Linked DNA regions of Elephas maximus indicus. The protein of the gene in region 2 interacts with the protein of the main gene of each other region in a pairwise test. Links are inferred from orthologs where the notes say so. Each region holds a gene or a part of one and is shown on either strand. Other genes may lie near its edges.

Region 1 (7,499 bases), on a different chromosome or scaffold from region 2:
CTGGGGGATTACCTAATAGATGCGAATGAGTGAATGAAATGTGTATCCAGAAGCTATTGAATTTTGGTGGGAAGAATTAACAATAGGTTGTTAGTGACCATCAGATTATGACTCATGGTGACCCCACGTGGTACAGAGTAGAACTGTTTCATAGGGTTTTCTTGGCTGTTATCAGAAATAGATCACCAGGCCCATCTTCTGCAGTAGCCCTGGATGGGTTCAGAACACCAACTTTTAGGTTAGAAGTTGAGTACAAACTATTTGTGCCACCTGGAGACTATTAAAGTATATAAAAAGCAAAAACAAAAAAAAAAAGACAAAGCATTGTTGTGGAGTCGATTCAGACTCATAGCGACCCTAGAGGACAGAATAGAGCTGTCACGTAGGGTTTCCAAGGAGCAGCTGGTGTATTTGAACTGCCGGCTTTTTGGTTAGCAGCTCAGCTCTTAAAAGCAAATGAAAAAGCAAGGCTGTCTTAGTCATTTAGTGCTGCCATAACAGAAATACCACAGGTGGATGGCTTTAACAAAGAGAAGTTTATTTTCTCACAGTGAAGTAGGCTAAAAGCCCAAATTCAGGGTGTCAACTCCAGGGGAAGGCTTTCTCTGTCAGCCTTATTGATCTTCCCCCAGACTAGGAGCTTCTCTGTGTGGAGACCCCAGGTCCAAAGGACGCGCTCTGCTCCTGGCACAGCTTTCTTGGTGGTATGAGGTTCTAACTCTGCTTGCTTCCCTTTCCTTTTTATCTCTTGTAAGATAAAAGGTGGTGCAGGCCATACCCAAGAGAACTCCCTGTACGCCTGGGTAAGGGTGTTACAATCTCACCCTAATCCTGTTTGACATAAAGGTATAATCACAAAATGGAGGACAACCACACAATGCTGGAAATCATGACGCAGCCAAATTGATACACTTTTTGGGGAACATAATTCAGTCCATAACAAAAGCAATGATTAATGCCAGGAAAACCAAAAAGTAATAAAGGGAAGGAAGCAATCCTTGAACACACATGGCTTTGCAGTGAACATTTATTCATTCATAGCCAAAATAATCTCCCTGATGTTGTGTGCCGTCAAATGGATTCCAATTCATAGCAATGCTATAGGACAGAGTAGAACTTCCCCATAGGATTTCCAAGGCTGTAAATCTTTATGGAAGCAGACTGCCACATCTTTTCTCCTGCAGAGAGGCTGGTGAGTGAACTGCCAGCCTTTTGGGTAGCAGCCCAGTGCTTAACCACTGTACCACCAGGGCTCCATATAATGTCACTACTAAGTACTGGTTCTTTAGACATATTGTCAGGAGAGACCAGCCCCTGGAGAAGGACGTCATGCTTGGTCAAGTAGAGGGCCAGTGAAAAAGAGGAAGACCCTCAACGAGATGGATTGACACAGTGGCTGCAACAATGGGCTCAAGCATAACGATCTTGAGGGTGGCGCAGGACCAGGCAATGTTTCATTCTGTTGTACCTAGGGTCGCTATGAGTTAGGACCAATTCAACGGCACCTAACAACAAGTACTAGAACCAACAAAGTGTGATTTCACTATATTAAGAGGATGGGGGAGGTGGAAGAAAGAAAGAAATAATTTGGAAATCCATAGGCAACGTAGAGAATACATAAATCAAGAACTAGTGAGCTTAAAAAATAGTGACTATTCTGGAGATCACTTTAATAGTGACTATTCTGGGGGGTCGGAGCCCTGGTGGTTCAGTGGTTAACTGCTAACCAAAAGGTCAGCAGTTCAAATCCACCAGCTGCTCCTTGGAAACCCTATGGGGCAGTTCTACTCTGTCCTGTAGGGTCGCTGTGAGTTGGAATCGACTCAACGGCAATGGGTTTGGCTTTTTTGGTTTGTTCCAGGGGTGGGAAGAGGAATGAGACAGGGAGTCTTTTAATTGTTGTTAAAAGCTTCCCGCATACTATTTGCGTATACACACACAGTACCTTGATAAATATTTAAAATTAAACTAAAAGAAGTAAAGGGAAAGGTACAAACTGGAAATACCAGGTGTGCACAGAGTCTAGCAAGAAGGTTGATTTGGAGTTAAAAATTTGGCCAGGATATTAAAAAATTGCTGTCAAGTCGATTCGGGCTCATAGCATCCACAGAGGACAGAGTAGAACTGCCCCATAGGGTTCCCAAGGAGCCGCTGGTGGATTTGAACTGCCAACCTTTTGGTTAGCAGCTGAGCTGTTAACCACTGAGCTACCAGGGCCAGGATATAGTGAGACAAAAGGTTATAAAAGCAGAAGTGAGATTATGGAGAGCCTTGAACATCCTGCTAAGTATATTTGGGAGGCATTGGGGAATGTGGGAAGGTTTCTTAGAACAAAGTCCCTGGGCGGTGCAAACAGTTCGTGCTTGTGTACTAACCAACAGGTTGGCAGTTGCTTACCCAGCAGCCCTGCAGAAGAATGATTACAGCCAAGAAAGCCCTGTGGAACAGTTTTACTTGGTAACACATGAGTCGCCATGAGTTGGATTGACTAGATGGCAATAGGTTTGGTTTGCTTCTCTCAGAAGAGGTGTCTAAAAGAGATACTCTTCAAATGCAGAGGGGCAACAGTACACAAATGGAGTGAGAAGAGTCCGCACTTGTTACAAGAAAAAAAAACAAAGGCATTGCCCACAGCTGATTCCAACTTACAGCAATCCTATAGGACAGAGTAGAACTGCCCCTAGAGTTTCCAAGGAGTGCCTGGTGGATTCAAACTTCAGACCTTTTGGTTAGACACCATAGCACTTAACCACTACACCACCAGGATTTCCCCACGCTTGTTACTGTGGCCTAAAAGGCCCTATGTGATCTGGCCCTTTCCTACCTTTTCAGCCTCATCGTACCACTGTCCATCTAGTCACGATAGCTGTCCTCCTATTCTTCAAATTTGGAAGTACAATCAGAATGCTCCTTAGAAGTGAGGATGGCAAGATAGTTGCTTACTTTGGATATGTTATCAGAAGTGACCAATCCCTGGAGGACATCATGCTTGGTAAAGGAGAGGGTCATCAAGAGAGGAAGACTCTCAGTGAGATAGATTGGCACAGACCTGCAACAGTGGGCTCAAGCGTAACAACGATTGTGAGGACGGGGCAGTGTTTCATTCTGTCATATATAGGGTCGCTATGAGTCGGAACGCACTCGACAGCACCTGACAACATTCCTGCTTTGAGTCTTTATACTCACTCTGCCCTCTGCCTGGAATACCCTTCCCTTAAATCTTCTCGTATCTGGTTCCTCCTCATCAGTTAGGTCTTAGTTCAAATGGAAGATGTCTTCCTTGACAAACTCATCTTTCCTCTGTCTCTATCACATTACTCCATTTTATCTTCTTAGTAGAGTTTATCACTCTCTGGCTTATTTGGAAACCCTGGTGGTGCAGTGGTTAGGCTACAGCTGCTAACCAAAAGGCCAGCAGTTCGAATCCAGCAGGCGCTCCTTGAAAACTCTATGGGGCAGTTCTTCTCTGTCCTTCAGGGTTGCTATGAGTTGGAATCGATTCAACGGCAGTCAGTCTGTTTTTTTGTTTTTTGAAGTTTATCTATTTACAAGCCTATGTGCCTCCTAGATGAGTGAAGGTTTTGAGGGCAGCCTTACCTGTCTTTCTACTTCTATATCTCAGGCATGGCACCATGCCTAGCACATAGTAGGTACTCAGTATTTATTAAATTAATTAAAAACTAAGGAGTGAGGAAATCTGTCAGGGCACCATCATACCTAGTTCTAGGAGTCCTTGGGTGGTGCAAACGATTAAGCACTGGACTGCTAGCCAAATGGTTGCCGGTTTGAACTCACCCAGAGGCACCTGGGAAGACAGGTCTGGTGATCTGCTTCCAAAAGGTCACAGCCTTGAAAACCCTATGGAGCACAGATCTACTGTGACACACATGGGGTTGCCATGAGTCAGAACTGACTCTGCGGCAGGGAACAACATACCAAGTTCTAGTTTGAGACTCCCTGTCCCAGACAGGCACGCATACCTTCACTTGCCTTTCAGCCCATTTAGTGAACCATTGCTATGCACCTGACCCTGGCTGGGCTCTGGGGCTGTAAGGCGGATTCAGAGCTCGACCCTGCCCTGCCCTCAAGGAGTCCTGTTTGGTGGGCTCTTTTTTTTTTTTTTATGACCGCAGCTGTACTTCTCACCCTAAAGTGCCATACCGAGGTCCCTTGCTTCCAGCGATCCGTGCTTAGAACCACTTCCCACTCTCCCCAAATCTGGGGACCGAAGAGACCCTGCTTCCCTTCCTCCCCGCCTGCAGAGGAGGTCTTCGGTCCAGGGCCAGGGCCTCGGAGGGCCCAGGAGTGCGGCCGTCCTGGTCAGGGCTCCCCTCCAGGTCTGGGCCCCAGGCACCGCGCCTGCTCCCCGCCGAGCGGGGGCCGGAGCCGTGCGCGCCAGGGCCCGGCTTTGCGCGCATCCAGCGCTCGGCGGCCCGCGGGGCGGGGCGCGGCCCGACCCGAGGCCGCGGCACCGGAAGAGTCGCGCCGCCAGGCGGGCCGGAGCGCGGAGCGGAAGCTTGGCGGGCGGCGCTGGGACCCGGGGGAGGCCGCAGAACAAGGAGCTGGGCTGAGCCGCGCCGACTGCCCCGAGGCCCGGCCCGGCGCCCGGGAGGCCGGAGCCATGGGCGAGACCAAGATCATCTACCACCTGGATGGGCAGGAGACGCCGTACCTGGTGAAGCTGCCGCTGCCCGCCGAGCGCGTCACCCTGGCCGACTTCAAGGGCGTGCTGCAGCGACCCAGCTACAAGTTCTTCTTCAAGTCGATGGACGACGATTTCGGGTGAGGGGCCCCCGCCCGCACCGCGGACCCCGCCGCCTGCTTTGGGGGCCACCCGGCCCGCTCGAGCCCCCCCGGCTGTCTGGGGGAGCTGGGGTTCCAGCCCCGCGAGGGACCGCCCGCTCGCCTCTGGTGGGGGACCTTGGCCCCTTGGGGCACCCAGCTTAGGGGAACGTCCAACTCCCCAAAAGCATTCGGCTCCTGGCCCGCCAGCCCCTCACCAACTCGATGGCCCACGTAGACGACACACAACCCCTCCCCCCAGGTCCGGCCCTCCCCCGCCAGGGGAGCCACCTCTTCAGCGCAGACTTGGGGTGTCTGGCACCCAGCCTAGCGCTTCTCCATCTTTTCAGCTGCACGACTCAGGGCCATATTTGGAGCACCCCGCATCTCGGGGCTACGCCGGGGGGACTGCGGACTGGGGGGAGGGAGGTGGCCGGGTGCTGGGGCCCTGCAGACCTTGTGTTTGTTTAGCTGTCGCCCCCTCCCTTGTGGTGTGTCTAGGATGTTGTCAAGGGAGCGAGGCGAACGCCTGGCCCCTGAGGAGGAGTCCAAAATATCCCAGGTGCTTGCTCCCCTCAGTATTGAGGCCTTTTCCTCCAGGTGGTGGCCAAGGGGGAGGCCTTGGAAAGGGCCTCAGAGCCTGAGAGCCAGGAAGAGCCTCTTGGTGTTCTCCATTTTCCCCTCGCTGGCGGGGTCTTCCCCTCCACCCAGCTGCAAGGCTGTGGACAGGCAGAGTTTGGAAGCTGCCACTTCCCCTTTAAGAAGGGATGGAATGTTGGAGCCGGAAGGTTCTGTAGCAGCTGGCCTGGGAAGGGGAGCCTAGCCCATCTCCTCACCGCCCCCCCAGCCCCCCCCAACTCCCAATTCCCGGGGGACTGGAGGAGGGGAAGGCCCCCACACCAGCCTGCATCCAGGAGCTGGGTGCTGGCCTAGAGGCCCCTGGGGAGGCCTCACAGGGTCCTTGAGGCCTGCAGCCATCTCTCCAGCCTCTGCCTGGGGCCTGCACTGCCCTTTGGGGCAGAGTGAGGAGAGACAGTCTTCTCCCATGTGTCCATCAGTCTGGCCGCTCTCCCAGGACCCTGGCCCTCCTGGGTCAAGAAGCAAGCACCTTCTGTCTTCTCCTTGGCATGCTTGGCTGTCGCTTTCCACCCTGGGACTCTGGGTTTGAGGAGCCTGTGAGATGTGTGTGTGTGATCATGTATGTGAGATTTTGTGATCATATGTATAATCCTGTGTGTGTGTGTGAGAGAGAGAGAGAGTGCTTGGTACAGTGGGAAGTGCTTTGTGGAGTCCAACTATCCTGTTGTCTGTTGTCTTTGCTCCTACCCTGGGGCAGGGTACTCCTGGTGCCATGATGATTATCTGGTTTCAGCCCAGAGACAGACACCTCTGATTGGAAGATTCTGAACAGGGATCGATCTGGAAGGGGCAGGGGCAAGGGGGCGGGCGGCCTGACCTAGTTGGAGAAGAATAGGGTCAGAGAACACCAAGATACTTCCTGGGAATATAAGATGTGGAAAAACAGTTACAGTCCAGTGGGCTGGGGCCACCCTGGGGCCAGGTGCACTGAGGGGCTAGGATAGACTTGTGTTCCCACCCCGCACTCACCCCTGGGCCCACTCGGCCTAGCCCCATCTCCTAAGCCTAGACCTCTCTGGGCTGCCTCCTGGCCGGGCCTAACTGCAGTCATAGAAGGATCCTCATTACATCCACTTAACCAAAACCTGTTGCTGTCAAGTCAATTCCGACTCATAGCGACCCTATATTTACTGTTTACTGAATGTTTTCCTTTAACTCCACTGTCAGTCAGCTGCTTTTTTTCTTAGCTTGACCTAACCAGTAATATGAAATCATGGGTCTGACTTTCTATTTATTTTTTTCTAAAATATGTTCAAATAAATACATGTAACTATTAAACTAAGCAACATTCATTCAGGTACCATTTAAAGCCATCTTGCTTACATTAGTGGTACTGACACCACTCTTTTCAAGATATCAGAATAGGTCACTTTAGCAGAGCTGAGAACAATGCTACAAAGGAAGCGGAGGAGACTGATTTCGCTCTTACCCCGCTCCTCCCCAGGAGGCTAAGTGAGCAGAAGGCATGGTAGCGCTCACTTGTCACAGAGGACTCCAGCGTGCCAGACACTGATGTCAATGCTTTTTGAACCTTCACTGAGATCCCACTTTACAGACAAGGAAACTAGGGCACAGAAAGATTAACTTGTCCAGGGTCACACCGCTAGTACATGGCAGCAGAGCTTGATTTGATGTTAGGGATCTGGCTCCAAAGTCTGTAGCCTTAACTGCACAACTGTAGGTATTATTGTTGTTGTTAGGTGCTGTCAAGTCGGTTCCGACTCATAGCAACCCCTATGCACAGCAGAGCGAAACAGTGCCTGGTCCCGCGCCATCCTCACAGTCATTGCTATGCTTGAACCCATTGTTGCAGCCACTGTGTTGATCCATCTCGTTGAGGGTCTTCCTCTTTTTCACTGACCCTCTACTTTACCAAGCATGATGTCTTCCTCCAGGGACTGACCCCTCCTGATAACATGCCCAAAGTATGTGAGACGTATCCTTACCATACTTGCTTCTAAGGAGCATTCTGGTTGTACTTCTTCCACGTAGGTGTTACTACTACCCGCATTTTATAGACGCTTTCTCTCCAAGGGAGATGTTAAGGCCTGGCAAACTGTAGAAGAGGTAGGGGTGGC
Region 2 (8,013 bases):
AAGCAGAGACCTGAGTTGGGCATGTAGGGTCCCTGACCAAGACCCCAGGGCACCTCACCTACTAGAAGTGCCTGCCAGTTCAGCACACACCCTCTCAGCAGTAATATTTATTTGGGATTTGCAGGGAAGGGAAAAACGCAAAGTATTTCTAAGCATTCTTTGCTTGCAGAAGAGAAGGGGCCATGAAAGCCCTGGGCATCTGGCAAGAACTCCCAGAGTGGCACTGGGCTGCCCCCAAAACCTCCCATAGGCTGCTCATGAGGAGCTGATATGCCTGTGGCTGAGGGCAGCCCTGCACGTATGGTCCTCCCTAATCTCACAGCAGCCCTGAGAGCCAGGAGCTCTTAGCATCTCCCACTGAATGGCTGAGAAAGCCAAGGCTCATGATGCTAAGGGAGCAGAGCTGGCATTCACACCCAGTCTGACTCCAGACGAGCCTTGAGTGCTGAGGAGAATCCGGGCCAGATGAACATCTCAAGCTCTATGGAACTCAGGCCAGGAAGTGAGGCTGAAGCGCAGAGGCGCACAACTTGAAATGAGGCCGATCTCCAAACTAGCCTCACAGCCCTGCACAAAAACACACTCCTATCTCCCTGCAGAGAGTCAGCCCAAAGACCGCAGAACAAATGGCAATCACTCCAAAGCATCAGCCCTATTTACATCCAGGTTCCCCAGCTGAGGGGAAGCAGCCTCACAACACCAAGGAAACATGAATATTTCATGGGTAGATCCCTCCTGGCCTCCAATCTTGTTTTCAATTGTCATGAAACAATTCAGAATTTCCAACTCAGGACTAATGGGCTCCCGTCAGCCAGTCAGCCAGCGCAGGCAGGGGTAATTATTTTAAAAGCTTCCGACCAAGTTGTTCACTGTGCTGGCTCCCCAAATCATCTGTCTGCAGTAGTGGCTGTGCCCCTTCAGGCCCCGCACACCCTGTCTCCCCATACAGAAAGCAGACAGCAGGGGGGGCTGTGAAGCACTGGCCACAAGAGCCTGTGAGGATGGTAGAGACAGGCCAAGCCTACAGATGGGTAAACTAAGGCCCTCCAGAAACTCAGAGACCATAACTTCTCACTCTCATATTTCCTCTGCCAAGCTGTGGCCAACTGTGCTCATGGCGCATGGATGGACAAACAGATGGATGTAGTGGCTGAGTGAATGATGTTACAATAGCCTGCTCCCACCTCACCCCCTGGAATCCATCCTACACTCTCCAGGCTGAGTGATCTTTCTGAAATATTAATCTAACCAACCGTCTCCCTTCTTAAACCCTTCATCTACGTCTCTTCGTCTTCAGAATAATACCCCACTATACTACAATACTACAAAGCTTCATGAAGCCCCACAGTATCCGGCTCCTATTTAATTCTCCAACCTCCTCTTCCCCCATTCTCTGCCTTCTCACCTGCCCTCAATGCTATTCTGTAGCCACACTGCCCTTCTTTCAAATTCTCAGGTATACCACAATTCTCTCACCTCTGGGCCTTTGTTCGTACTGTTTTCCCAGGGAGTGGAGAGGGGCGGGGTGGAAATACTGTTCCAAACAAACTCTGTAGTATGTCATTCAAGACCCTTCAACAGCGGGCTGCAGATTTCGTCTCCAGCATTTGTGCTCCAAATATGGTTATGGGTTTGTACGTCTGCCTCCTCAGCTCAACCCACATGAGCAGAAGCCATCCATCTCTGCATCTCTGTGATCATGGGCATGAAGTGTGTGCTTTCTAAACCTTTGCTGACCTGAGAGAGGCCAGTCCAAGAGGGTCCCAGACCAGAGTTCTTCCCACTGTTCCTTACAGATGCTGACAGGTCTGCAATGAAAAAAAAAAAAAAGTACTTGAGATGCTCAAAAGGTTTCTCTTTTTGCTTTGGCTCCCAGGAGCCTCAGAGTGCACTATAATCAATGTTCAAGTACATCAACATCTTGCCTGATCCTAGGAGGTCTTCTCCACTTTCAGATTCTCCAACTCCCTCCTTCTCAAGGATGAGCAAGGGACCACAAATGGATACCCTCCCTTGCTTTGTGGGTCCATCTCTATATGGAATCAGCAGACTCTGAGCCTCCCCTCAGGCTTTCTGGTGGCACTCTCACCTCTTTGCCACAGATGAGTGCCAGAACAGTCCTGTTGGACTTCAGACTCTCCCAAGAGAACCAGTGCCTCCCCATCACATTAGGGTGGACTCTTACCCACTCCACCACCAGGCCCTTGAGAACCTTCACAGGGCAGGGGCTTCTTTGAAGACTAACACCTTCCCTGCCACAATTCTAACTCTGAGAGCTTGCTAAGGGACAGCAGCTAAGATTCTTGGGGGAATGTAGTGAGTATTCCTTTTGGTAGGGAGTAATCCTTCTAGGGTGGAGCCTGTGACCCTGGCCTGGCCAACCACACCCCTAAACCACTCTTCTCCACAAAGAGATTGGTTTAGGAGTGGGCATGTGAGCTGTACCCAGCCAATCAGCATAATCGAATCCCTTGACCATGCTAGCAAGGGTCCTGTAGTGAACAAGAGAGGCTCAGCTCTGCTCTCAAGGAGCTTACAAATGGTAAGGGCAACAGATTTTAACCAATCATTACACAAATAATTATTTCAATACTATTGCAATAAGACCCATGAAGGAAAAGGTCACTGTCATGGATGGAATTGTGTCCTCCAAAAATATCTGTCAACTTGGCTAGGTCATGATTCCCAGTATTGTATGATTGTCTACCATTTTGTCATCTGACATGATTTTCCTACGTGTTGTAAATCTTATCACTATAATGTAATGAGATGGATTAGTGGCAGTTACATTGATGAGATCTACAAGATTAGATGATGTCTTAAGCCAATCTCTTTTGAGATATAAAAGAGAGAAGCAAGCAGAGAGACATGGGGACCTCGTACCACCAGGAAAGCAGAGCCAGGAGCAGAGCATATCCTTTGGACCCAGGGTCCCTGCACTGAGAAGCTCCTCGACCAGGGAAAGACTGATGACAAGGACCTTCCTCCAGAGCCGACAGAGAGACAAGGCCTTCCCCTGGAGCTGACACCCTGAATTTGGAGTTGTAGCCTGCTCAATTGTGAGAGAATAAATTTCTCTTTGTTAAAGCCATCCACTTGTGGTATTTCTGTTATGGCAGCATTAGATAACTAAGACAGACACTCTCCCTACTTTTACTGGATATTAAGAAACACTGCAAAACTGTGACTGAAGCCATTTGCCCATTATGCTATTCAGATGTGACAAATCCAACTTGGAGTTTTGTACTATGGAGAAAAACTTCTTCTGACTAAAGGAAGCATGCCATTTTGGAAGAAGAGACAAAACAACTGTGTCAACCAATCTTGTTGCACTTTTCACTTAGGTACTAGGAAGCTCAAAGCTAAAGTGACACTTAGATACAGGGACTGTGTTACTTCTGTTCCTAGTGGACCCTGCCCCGCTCTTCCTCTCTTTGATTTCCAATCCATCTGCCTTGACAGTGGAAATATATGTGCCTCAAGATGTCAAAAGCTAAAGGGAAATTGTGGAAAATTCTTTTTGGAAGAGGGGAAAATGAAATCATACAAAGCCTGTTTTGACCTTCCAAGAACTTCCAGGTTGTCAGGCTCTGGCCCCACCCAGTCTGCCCAGCCTGGAGGGAATAAGGAGCAGCTCTGCTAAATCAGAGAGGTGTTCTGCTCCTGCCTGACTCAACCAATGTGACCATGCTGGGGAAAACCCAACAAACCCACTGCCATCGAGACCCTATAGGACAGAGTGGAACTGCCCCCATAGGGTTTCCAAGGCTATAAATCTTTATGGAAGCAGACAGCCACATCTTTCTCCCATGGGTTCATACTGCTGACCTTTCCGTTAGCAGCCAAAGGCTTTAACCACTGGCTACCAGGGCTCGTCACTGGTGAAAGAGGGAAACAAAAATTAGAGCAAACTTTTAAAGAACAAAGTGACCTGACGGGTGTTACCTTTAGCATTCAACTCCACAAAACATAGTGCTAAGCCCTTCACTTGCTTTGTCTCATCGATTCCTCAACTGCCTTGTAAAGTCGATACTCTTACTCTCCTGTTTCACAGACAGATAAGTTGAGGCTGGAAGAGGTTATGTGACTTGCCCAAAGCCAAACAGCTAGTATAAGGCACAGACAAGACTCCAGCACAGGCCATTAGCAGTGTCTTGGTGCCACAGGCCCTAGCTGAGAACAAGAACATAGCAGAGAATGATGACACCACCACCCCGTCACCCACTGGGAACAAAACCCCTGAAAATCGCTGGTGTACAGGGGTGGAAGGGTGAGACACCTAAATGAAACCACCCCAGCCAGGTGCCTGTCTCTCGGCCTTCACAATAAGGGTCCTGCGGTTGCATTTATGCCCAAAGGTGTCTGGGCGCTTGGGGTGGGGGGTAAGGCTGCCAGGGACAAGGCCCACAGGGCCAGGCCTGCCAACAGGCCATTTTCACACATAAAACGCACAACTAGCGGTGGGGAGAGAGGCGTGGGATTGCAATCCCGGGCAGCGCAAGGTCCAAGCCACAAGATTGCGTTTCCCCAAGTAGGCCTCTAGGTCCAGGTCTGAAAGCGCCGGCGTCCAAGGCGCGTCTTTTAGCCCTTATGACCCCGTGCGCACTGATCCCCACACACCCCTGGAGAAGGGTTCCGGCTTTTAAGGATTGAGAGGAGGTCGCGGAGTCCCGGAAAAGCAGGACAGGGTGCAAGGGCCACCCCGCAGGGCCTGAATGCCCTGGCCTCTGGGAGCTTGCGTCGGGCTGGCTTCCGGCCTTGAGGGTAGGGCGGGGGTCTCGGCTCTGCGCTTTCCGAGGCTAGGCGGCCCTGGAGGCGCGGCGGAGCAGGGCGCCAGGTCGGGCGTCGGGGCTGCAGCCTCACCAGCACCAGCTGTCAGCGAGAACCAGGGAGGGAGGCGCCGCCGATGATGGCATCTCGTGCAACATTGACGCCGGCCGCCGCGCTGCCATCTCCCGGCACCTAGCGCCGAAGCGGCCATCCCAGAGCCCTGGGGTGTCGGCGGGCAGGCTCGGCCGCTCTTGTCCCGCAGTCTGGGCCTGGATAAACAGTCACAGCCGAACTCGTCCCATCCCACCATTCCAGAAGCCGGAGGCTCAGACTGAGAGCTTGGGGAAAGCCGGAGCAGGTTCTGCCAATGGGTCTCCCCCTTGAGGTTTCACTTGCGGGGTTATCTGGCCACTAGGCAACGCTGGGGAATCCGGAGGCCTACGGGTGAGAGAGGGGCAGGCCCCCAGGTCCCCTCAGTCCTTCCAGTCTCCCAATGGCTGCCAGCCAGGAACCGACCTGAGGGACCACATGGGCAGAGGCCTCCCACGTGCGCCGTCCGGGAGAAAGGCGGCCGCTGGAGGGTGTGCAAGGGAAGGGACCAGACAAGGAGTCGCAGAGGCGTCTGTCCTCGTGAGGTTGGCCTCCCCTTTATTCCCCAGACGAGTCTCTGAAGAGGGAGAAGGGGAAATTCCCCAAGCAGGGCCGGTCGGGCGATTGCCCCTCCCGAGCACCCCCTTACATAGAGAAACCTTGGGGTCTGACCTCAAACCTCCGTGGCTGCCAAAATCTGCACAGCTGATTCTCTCTGCCAACATGCAAACCCGGCTCCCTCCCGCAGGCTGAGCAGGAAAAGGAAAGGATTGACTCTCATAACCCCAGCTTGACCATCACCTGGCAGGCCCCCGGGAAACTCCGATCAGACCCGGACTAAACGGAAGCCGGCCCGTCCCCTAACGTGCCAGGTGGGTAACTGAGCCCAGCAAGAGTAAAGTGTCTGGGCTAGGGTGGGACCCCAGCAGCTTCAACCGCAGACGGCTGGAGCCCCTCCCACGCACCAGCCGTCCCGGGGCGCGCTTCCCGGCCTAGGGCCTCTGCGGAGAGCCGTGAGACCCCAGCCTGCTTCCCGAGGGAGGACAGGGCCCCTAGCCCGCTGGACTGCGCGCCGCCCCCTCCCCGCTTGCCTAGGCTAGCGCCTTGCTTCCCCTCCCCCCCTTCCCGCCTCCCCGGCCGGTGTCCCCGCCTTCCCCGCGGGCGACGGGCGGCGGCAGCCGCCGCGGCAGGAGGAGCGGGCCGAGCCGAGGCAGCCCGGACCTTACGCGCTGGGATGTAGCGACCCGGCGGGGGCCGAAGCAGCGCGCAGAGTCGGAGACTGAATTGGATCCGGGGCCCCAGCCGGAGCCGAAATCTAAATCTGAGTCGGCGGCAGGCGAGCCCGGAGCCGACGAGCCGCAGACGCAGCGCAGCCCAGGTAGGGTTAGAAACGCTGGGCTAGGGGACGCCGACGCTCCGCGGTGGAGGAGCGCAGGGAAGTGGCGGCCGAGTCCCGCGCTGTTTGCTCCGTGCGGTCCAGCCGGTGGGGCAGGACCGAGCGCAATGCGCGGAAGGCCAGGCGCCATCGGGGCAGAGCGAGGAGTTCATTCCTGAGTGGTGCGCACGGTCACAGCTGCCATCTCCGGGCGCTACCTCACCTAACTGGTGGGCCCACCCCGCGCTTCGGCCCCAGGCACCCCAAGAAGGCAGCAGCCTTGGGGGCGCAGGCCAAGGACACCCTGGACGCCCCGCGCAACTTCTAGCGGTGGCCAGGGCGCAAGGGGTCCCCAGGGAGAAAGGGACAGGCGAGAGGGCTGTCCGCTGTTCCCCGATATGCCCTGGGTTGAGGGCCCCCAGCACAGGCGGATGCGCAGGCCCCTCTCCATGGCCCGGGACTTCGGCCGTAGCTTCGCGTCAAGAGGGTATTTGTCCTAAACGAAACCGCTTCGCTCGTTTGTTCGTTCGAGCAGCAATATGGCAGAAAAGCAGCAGACATCGGCCGGAGCCCCGGAGCCTCGGGTCCCTTCGATCGCCAACCCCGACGTCCGCCGCAGCGCTGGGAGGCACCCCCAGCCCAGGGCGGCCTGCCCCGCGCGCAGAGCTGCCCTCTCCCATACGGGTTGGGCCTCACCTTCCCCTTACAGAAACCCTAAATGCTTTTAGTAAAGTCCAATAAAGACATTCCCACGGCTTCTCCCGGTTCTGGTTGCTGACGGAGGATTCCCCAGCACACAGCTTCTTCTCTAGAGCCGGGTCTAGGGATTCTGAAACTGAACAGCCACGAAAGTTGGAGCCGATTCTACTGTGGCAAAGCAAGGGCTCTGAAGCCAGGTAGCAAAAATGGGAACCCCGGTCTGGAATCATGGTTCAAAGGTTTTCTGATTTGGGAATTCCCTGAATCTAAAAATATTAAATCCACTTCTCTGAAAAACTAAGGCCCCGGTATGCTGGATTTGTGGTTGCCTCCGACAGCCACCAAGGCCAGAGCAGGAAACCCCAGGTTGCTGTCCACTTGGCCGAGGATGCAGGTCTAGGGTAATGAAGAAGTCTAGGGTAATGACAAAGGCTGTGGGCACCAGGGCAGCATAGGAGAGGGACTTGCTGTCCTCCTGCCCTTCCCCAAGACATTTTGGGACTCTCCACCTCTGCCAAAGAAAGGAAAAGTGGTGAGCTGGGGCACCGATCTGTGGCTGCTTCAACTCTAGGTGGTAGAGGCTCTATTTGTTGACCTCCGAGCCAGACTCAGAGCGCCCTTCTCCCAGAAAAGCAGCTGCTGGAAAAAGGAGGCTGTGGTGCAGCAAAACCTGACCCTCTACTCCCCAGTTATGTGGCCAGCCATGGCCACTTTCCTAGCCCTCTCTTTCGCTCAGCCACCCAACGTTTTTTGCTGGGCTCAGGAGAGCCAGGGGCCCTACCAGCCGCTGCCCTGACCGAGCAGGCTGAGCAGTCCACAGCACAGAGACCAGTTCCTCACTCCCGCTGGCGTGCCACTAGCACCGTCCAGCCGAGTGCATCCCACAGCTCCCCAACAGGACACGCTGGGGATCCCGGAATGGTAGGAATCCTTGGGCTGGGGTCCTGGGAGGCCTAAAAGACCCAGCGAGATCGTTCCCAGCCCCTGCCTGAGCACCCTCACCCAATAATTGCTTGCGTTCAAAGAAACAAGAGCTTTTATTGGGGAGGGGGTGTTAAGTCAGGCAGAAGGAGGTAGGT
Region 3 (7,916 bases), on a different chromosome or scaffold from region 2:
GGTTGCTGTAACAGCTGCTCCAGTAATGGAAAGACAGCCCCACACTCCACCGCCAGGCTGGCCCGCACCAGCCCTTTGCGGTATTGGGGCAGGCGACTGGTCTGGAACTCCTCGGGCAGCACTGTCAGCAGCTCTAGCAGGGCCAGGCAGCGGCCCTGGCCATCCACTGGTGAGTCCTCAGCCTGGAAGAGCCGTACCATATCTGCCACAGCACATGGCCAAGCGTCAGGCATCATGCTGAGAGCCAGCGAGGCCAGTGCCACACAGAGACGAGTCAGCACAATCTTGGAGCCACTGGCAAAGTGGGTGATCTGGGTAAAGAGCTGTGCCTTTAGGCTTTCGTACTGGTCAGTGGGGATGTCACTCCAGTAGCGAGAGATTTTGATGTGCAGGGCACTGGCCCCAAAGTACTGGATCTCAGGCACCTTGTCGGGCTGCAGTAGCTGCCAGCTGAAGTGCCAGGCCTGTGGGGAGACCTGGGCCTGCATCAGCCACTTCTGAGCCAGGTTCTTGTTCTCAATGTTGGGGTCATAGTAGAGCTGGTGCAGTGCCTGCAGGACAGCACAGGACTGAGCAGATGCTGGCCACTCTGGATCGTGCCAGAGCCCAGAACAGAGGGCATGATTTGGTCCTGCAAGACTGCCCCCCTCCCTGACTGGGGGGCTGGGCAGGAGGGAGAGCTCAGGGCTCGGCAGTGTTTCCTGGGCCCAGGGTCCTCTGATATCTTGAGAGCCTGAACCTTGCCCATGCTCTACCATACTCTCTTCTTGAAGCAAAACGTATGAGTTCAAAGAGGGAACCCAGGAAAGCAGGAAAAAAGGAGGCTGAGATCCCCAAAGGAGAGGCACTTGAGGTAAAGGGCAAGGTCCAGGTGGAAGGAATGGCTCCGTGGGGAAAAAGCCAAGCCTGAGAAAAGCATGGCGCAGCCTCAAGGGCTCTGACCCTCCCAGGCACAGCTGCTCCCATCAGCTCCAACAGCTCCCTTCAGCTCCCCCAGGATCATCCCTAAGTCACTCCAGATGCTGGCACCAAAGGCAGTATGAAATCTGAGCAGGACTTAGACTTTGCCAGGCAGCCCTGAAGCAGAGATATACTGGAGGGGAGAGTGAGAACACCTCTCAGAGAGCACATGTGAGGGTCCAAGTCGGTCCAGAGAAGCCTTGGCCACAGCTGCAGCCCTGGAAAACGTCTAGCCTTTAGATCTCAACTAGCAGAATCCTCAGGGCCCCAATTCCACTGGGACTTCACGCAGTAAGAAAACAGTGGCTTATCTCCCCGGTAGCACATGGAACCTTGCGCCACCATGCCAACACTGCCCAGCCCTAGGGGGTGGGAGAGTGAGGCCAAGACACTGACCCCTAAGAAGGCTCCACCCAAGTAGGCTTAGCCCTATCTATACCCCTGCCAGCCAGTTGTCTGGCTCCTCGGGATGCTGAGGCAGGCAGAGAACAGAAGCAGAAGGGATGCATTCTCACAGTTTGGCATGGCAACAGGGTTCAAGAATAAGTACTGAATATCTCCAGCCTCTGCTTCCAGCAAGGTGGCCCCAGGCATTTCCCCACTCATCCCAGGAGGCATGCATTCCTGCATTCCAAGCCCCTGGAGACAGAACCCAGAAAAGAACCAGAGAAGCAACCCCAAAAAAGGTGGACTAAGCAGGAGGGCAGCCTGGGAGGCCCATGGCAAGGGGTTATGTGGGGAGGTGAGTAGGGAAGCGTCCTGTGAAGCTGCCAGCAGGGCCAGGCCCCTCCGACATAGCACAAAGTAAAGGGGACAGCCACTCCCAAAGCACCCTTACCAAGGAAGAGCAAAAACATAACCCAGATTGTTTTAATTCCAGATTATTTTCGGAGCCCCAGGTGCAACAAAGTCAGGGTCCAGGATGGTCTAGCGCCTGTATGGTTCCTGGGAACTAAGCTGCACATTTGCTGGGTTCCTGGTTTCCTACTGCACTGCTCATGCAGTTTCCATGGAGCTGGAGCGTGGCCAGCCTGCCTTGGAGGTCTAAGCCATCAGCTCCCTGAAGCGACCATCCCAAGACCCTACAGTATCTCTCCACAGGGGACCCGTGTCTAAGGAAAGACAAAAATAGCCCATTAGGAGACTGCAAAACTGCTGTCCTGCCTGCCAAGAGAGACAGCAAAAGCCAGGTGCTCTGGGGCACCATCCCAGCAGGCATCCAGCCCAGGCCTAGGCTTGGGCTTCAATGTCAGTTCCCAGAACTTCTGCTCTGTCACTGGAGTGCCCACCCCAGGGCCCTCATACCTTCTCCACGTTCTCCACAGTGAAGTCCAAGGCTGATGCTGCTCCAGCCCCTGCAGCCCCTGGCTGCTCCTCCCGCCGCTCCATCTTTGCTCCCTCCCCAGTAGGGAGGTAGACCCTGACCTTTCTCCTGCCCCAGCCCCTTGGCTGCTGACGCCCTGCTAGACCCCAGCTTGGGTACCCAGGGAGTGGTAGGGTGACGGGGGACCCAAGGCAGGCATGGCTACGGAGGCCTTCCCACCTCGGCTGGAGGTGGGGTGCTTGCCAGAGATCAAAGGGGGTGCTTATATGAGGAGACCCCCTGAGGAGGACTCCCAGGAGAAGGCAGCCGTCTGAGTGGAGCTATTAGGCGGAGGTCCTAATGGTAGGTCACGGCTCTATCCTCAGAATCTGTGAGAGGCAGTCATGGGGGAGGTCTGTGAGGGAAACCGAGCCCCTGGCCCGTGAGGGATCACAGGGTCGTTGACCTGTACCTACAACACCCTCATCTGGGGGTGCTCTCGGGTCCTACGAGGAGGTCACGAGGGTGGGGAGATCACGGGGGAGAGAGCCTTTTGCGGGTTACGGAGAAGTCCAAGGAAGCGCGGGGGTGCAGCTTTGAGAGCTTGGGACGAAGGGTCCGTGGAGTTGAGGGTCTGTGGCAGGTCCCCTCCGCTCGGCCTGGCCCACGATCTGCTCACCGCCCAGCTCCGGCCCCTCTACCGCCGCTGCCTCCGCCCCAGTGACTGACAGGCGAGCTGGTCCAGCCGGGACGGGGCGGGGACCTTGGCAAGCGCAGGGTGCCCCGAGCGCCTGTCCCCGGCCCCGCCAACACAAGCCCCCCCCCCCCGCCTGCCTTGGCCCACCCCGACCCGGCACAGCCCGGCACGGTCCAGCGGAACTGCGCGGAAACTCATTCCGGGTCCCTGGCCCTGTCCTCGCGCCAGTCTGCGCGACCCCGAGCAGGCGACGGAGCGGCTCGCCGCCCGAGGCCCCCGCCGAGCCAAGGCCCCGCAACTGTGCACTCTGGGAAGTGTAGTCCGTGTTGCGCCGAGCCGGAGGGCGGTGCCTGGCGGCGGAGGCCGGGAGCACGTGGGCCAATATCCGCTGAGTCCCGGTCCGCCCCAGGCCTCCCGCTGACTGCCGGCACTTCCGGACAGGCAGTCGGTGGCGCTGCGGAGCAGATCCCGAAGAGGTTGTGACTCAAGGGCCCGGTGGGTGGAGGTGGGAGCTCGGGGCTGTAGGATCGAGGAACCCAGTTCACTCTGGTTGCTCCGCTCTGGGCGCAAGCGTCAGCACCACCCAGAGAAGTGAGGGGACTTGGCGCGCCTCAGGAAAAAAAAAAAAAAAGGATGTCTCGCTTGGCCACCCAGACAGCTAGCAGGAATCCACATACCATGGACAGTGCTCGGAGAATTCCCTACGGTTTTTGGAAACACCACCACTCGTCTGTGAGTTTGTCGTACTCTGGAGGCTTGCGTGTTGCTGTGATGCTGGAGGCTATGTCACCGGTATTTAAAATACCAGCAGGGTCACCCGTGGTGGACAGATTTCAGTGGAGCTTCCAGACTAAGACACACTAGGAAGAAGGGCCTGGCGACATAATTCTAAAAAAAATGGCAAGTGAAAACTTTTTGAATAGCAGTAGTACATTGTCTGAAGGAACAAATCTGTCTTGGAAGAAGCACAGCCAGAATGCTCCGTAGAAGGAAGGCCGGTGAGACTTGACTCACATACTTTGGGCATGTTATCCAGAGGGATCAGTCCCTGGAGAAGGGTATCATGCTTGGTAGGGCGTCAGCAAAAAGAGGAAGACCCTCTAGGAGATGGATTGACACAGTGGCTGCAGCATGAGCTCAAACATAGCAACAATTGTGAGGATGGGGCAGGCCTGGGCAGTGTTTGATTCTGTTGTCCTTAGGGTCGCTATGAGTTGGAGACAGAACCTAACAACAACAACTTGGAAACAACTTCTCTCTATGAGTAATTAGAATAAGAATAAAAAACCAACCCAGTGCCCTCGAGTCGATTCCGACTCATAGTGACCCTGTAGGACAGAGTAGAACTGCCCCATAGAGTTTCCAGGGAGCGCTTGGCAGATTCCAACTGCCGACCCTTTGCTTAGCAGCCTTAGCACTTAACCACTATGCCACCAGGGTTTCCAGAATAAGAATAGCTCACCTTTAACTGCTAGGAACAGTACTTTGCATATTGTAGGTCCATTTCTCTCAGCAACTCTAAGGTAGGTGTTTTCATTCAACATTTTCAGATAAGAAACAGGATTTGGGGAAGGTTAAGCAAATCTTGGAAGTCCCTGGGTGGCTCAGATGATTAAGTGAACCAAAAGGTTGGTGGTTTGAATCCACCTAAGCACCTCAGAAGAAAGGCCTGGTGATCTACTTCCAAAAAATTACAGCTGTTGGAAACCCAATGGAGCACAGGTCTACTCTGAAAAACATGGAGGCTCAATGAGTCGGAATCGACTCCATGGCAACTTTTTTTTTTTTTTTTAAGCATATTTGTCCCTAGACACATAGCTAGGGTGGCAGAGTGGGGCCTCAGATCTGGTTTGCCCCGGTCCAGAGTCCAGCAGTCCCTGTGATACTGCCTTTCACCACTCCAGTTTGTTCCTTAGTTAACTCCTGCCAGCTACCCCAGCAAGAAAAAAAAAAAAATTAAAAGGGAAAGGACCTCTGTACTGTCCTAAGGCCTGAGAAGGTGGATGAAGTCTTCCTGAGAAGGAGAAGCTTGATCTGAGCTTGAGGAATAGAGTCTGGGGAGGAGGGCCTCTCCATATGCTGGTAAGCAAAGTCCAGGGAGAAGCTAGTCATTCAACAAACCTTTATCGAGAAAGTATTGGAAGAACAGCTAGTAATTTGTGTTCTGCTTCAGGGTATATATATATGTGGGGTGAGGAGGTGGGTGGAGGTTAGTAACAGAGATGAGGTTGAAAAGACAAGTTGGAAGCAATAGACTTCTGTAGTTTTTAACCTAAATGCAATGTGAAGCCAAGATGAGTTTTAAAGTGAGCAGTGATGATTGGATTTGCATTTTAGAAAATCTGTTTGCATAATGGAGGGTGAATTGAAGGAGGAAAGAGTAGAGGCAGGGGACCTTTGGTAGGAGTAAACCAAACCCATTGCTCTTGCTTTGATTCTGGCTCTTAGCGAGCCTCTAGGACAGAGTAGAACTGCACCATCGATCTTTTGGTTAGCAGCCAAGCTCTTTACTGTGCCACCTGGAATCCTTAGGAGGAAACAGGAAGCCAGAATAAAGTGGGTGATTCCAGACCTGTGCCTGGGTGGGGGAGGATGTAAAACGCTCTGGCTCTGGTGCTGCTTTTACTGTTGGAAGTGGGGGGAGGGAAGAAAGGGATAGTTACCTTTCAGCATGGGAGTTTAAGAGCACAGATTCTGGACTTAGGCCTGGGTTAAACACCTGGCCCTGCCCCTTTCTAGCTATGACTGCTCGGCTTCTTCTGAGACTCACTTTCCTATTAAAAAAAAAAAGCATAGTAATTCCTCCAAAAAACAAAACAAAACAAAACCCGTTGTGGCATCCTACTTCCAGTAAAGGACAAATTGAGGTGATTGACGAGTAGGGCTTGGTCCAGAGGCCACAACTTGGTTAATAGGAGTTTTCTTCCTACTTCCAGTCCAGGGCTCCTTCCTCTCACCCCGGAAGTCCCCCAGCAGATAAAGAAGCTAAGCATCACCAAAGTGGTTCCTGAACATGCTTCACAAATACCACCTAAGGCAGATGGACTAAAGTAGGCCCTATTGTTGTGTGCCCTCAAGTCAATTTCGACTCATGAACTGTGTAAGGTAGAGTAGAAGCGCCCCATAGGATTTCCTAGGCTGATATCTTTACAGGAACAGATCACCAGGTCTTTTCGCCCTTGGAACAGCTGGTGGGTTAGGATCGAGGACCTTTCAGTTAGCATCTGAGCACTTCACCATTGTGCAACCAAAAAAAATCTGTTGCCACCAAGTCTATTCTGACTCATAGTGACCCTATAGGGCAGAGTAGAACTGCTCCATAGGGTTTCCAAGTATGTAATCTTTATGGGAGCAGATTGCCACATTTTTCTCCCAAGGAGCAACTGGTGGGTTTGAGCCACCAACCTTTTGGTTAGCAGCCAAGTGCTTAACCACTTCACCACCCGGGCTCCACAGCAGGCCCCTACAAAAAAAAAAAACAAAAAAAAAAACCAAACCCCTTGCCATCAAGTCAATTCTAACTCATAGCGACCCTACAGGACAGAGTAGAACTGTCCCATAGGGTTTCCGAGGAGTGGCTGGTAGATTCGAACTGCTAGCCTTTTGGTTAGCAGCCAAGCTCTTAACCACTGTGCCACCAGGGCTCCAAGTAGGCCCCAGGAAGGGCCATTTCTTGGGAATCTCTATTCAAGGGGGGCCTTTAGGAGATGACAGTGCAGGATAGCTTAGAGCCAGTTGTAGAAGGTATGAGTAGAATGTATAGGTGTTAGAGCCTATGACAGTCTGGGAAGGGCCCGCAGATTCAGGAAAGAGCATCCCAAGGAGACAGAGCCTCTGTTGGGCACCTGGTGCCACCACCAATCCATGTCCATGTCCATGTCAAACTAAGTTCTCAGTCTGAAGTTTTTCACTCTACCAAAATAGTGTGAATTTGGACTGCAAAACCTGATGGGAGCCTGCTTGTAGATGCAAGTTCTTAGGGGAGGCTTTTTTCCCATTCTACTTAGCACCAAGGTCAGATGCAGGCAGTTTTCTTTGTAGTTCCCAGGTTTTGCAGGGGAGGGTAGGTAGGAGACGGACAGCTTTATTTCTAATTCACCCTTAAACTGTGGGCATGGCCCTTTGGAGTCCTGGCTTTATGGAGAAGCTTCTGAATAGACTTCCACTGTGAGTGAACTCTGGACTTTTGTCTTCTTTCCCATAAACTCAGGGAGCCTTCCTGGGTAAAGAAAATGTCCTCAAGGTGAAAGCCAGCTTCAGAGCTTTGCTTATCTTTCTAGTGTCCTGTTTTCACTTATTTTTTGACCTGAGAGTTTCTTATATTCTTGGATGCATTTAATTTTGATATATATATATATATTGTTTGTTTTTTGACCACTCTTTTGTGGTTTCCTTCAGGGACTTGTCCCCCTTTCTCTTCCTAGCCCTTAAATGTTGATTCTTCAGGGCCTTAGCCTGTGGTTCTCTTCCTATTCCTCCATATCTCACCACTCCTGGGCTTCGAGCTGTGCCTTTCAGATCTCTCTAAACCAGACTGTCCTGAGTTCCAGACTCTTACATCCAGCTGCCTCCTTGCCTCCCTGCCTTCTTGAACATGTATAAAACTGAACTCAGGACCTTCTTACACGTTATCTCAATCACATGCTAAAGATACTACTTCCCCTGTGTTCTTCGCCAGTCACCAAGCCAGACACCTGGAAACCCTCCCTTTCCTCAAGCCCCTACCACCAGCTGGTCACAGGTCCTGCTTACTGTGCCTCACCTCTTGCCTGTCCTTCCATACTGCTCTATCCTAGATCAAGACACCAGCATGTCTTGCCTGAATTATTGCAAAAGCTCTAACTGGCCTCTCTTGCCGCCTGTCTTGGCCCTTCCACTCCATACTAGGCACAACAGCCAGAGTGATCCATCTAAAACACATTTCTAATCAATCATATTACTCCCACCACTTAAAAT

Evidence for each region.
Region 1: the proteins of PITX1 (region 2) and DVL3 interact in binary tests that used the Homo sapiens proteins (3 or more experiments, as listed by UniProt). The two-hybrid records come from large-scale screens. The link is inferred for Elephas maximus indicus from reciprocal best matches to the Homo sapiens genes PITX1 and DVL3.
Region 3: the proteins of PITX1 (region 2) and IPO13 interact in binary tests that used the Homo sapiens proteins (3 or more experiments, as listed by UniProt). The link is inferred for Elephas maximus indicus from reciprocal best matches to the Homo sapiens genes PITX1 and IPO13.

The regions. Positions count from the first base shown.
Region 1 is NC_064819.1:30,911,034-30,918,532, reverse strand, and holds the start of DVL3 (segment polarity protein dishevelled homolog DVL-3), read left to right. Parts: upstream 1-4,454; 5' UTR 4,455-4,621; coding exon 4,622-4,782; intron 4,783-7,499. UniProt on the Homo sapiens protein: Involved in the signal transduction pathway mediated by multiple Wnt genes.
Region 2 is NC_064820.1:147,512,410-147,520,422, reverse strand, and holds the start of PITX1 (pituitary homeobox 1), read left to right. Parts: upstream 1-4,940; 5' UTR 4,941-5,128; intron 5,129-5,194; exon of another isoform or gene 5,195-5,405; intron 5,406-5,608; 5' UTR 5,609-5,732; intron 5,733-5,740; exon of another isoform or gene 5,741-6,100; 5' UTR 6,101-6,238; intron 6,239-8,013. UniProt on the Homo sapiens protein: Sequence-specific transcription factor that binds gene promoters and activates their transcription. May play a role in the development of anterior structures, and in particular, the brain and facies and in specifying the identity or structure of hindlimb.
Region 3 is NC_064821.1:86,204,934-86,212,849, reverse strand, and holds the start of IPO13 (importin-13), read right to left. Parts: upstream 3,027-7,916; 5' UTR 2,350-3,026; coding exon 2,266-2,349; intron 552-2,265; coding exon 1-551. UniProt on the Homo sapiens protein: Functions in nuclear protein import as nuclear transport receptor. Serves as receptor for nuclear localization signals (NLS) in cargo substrates.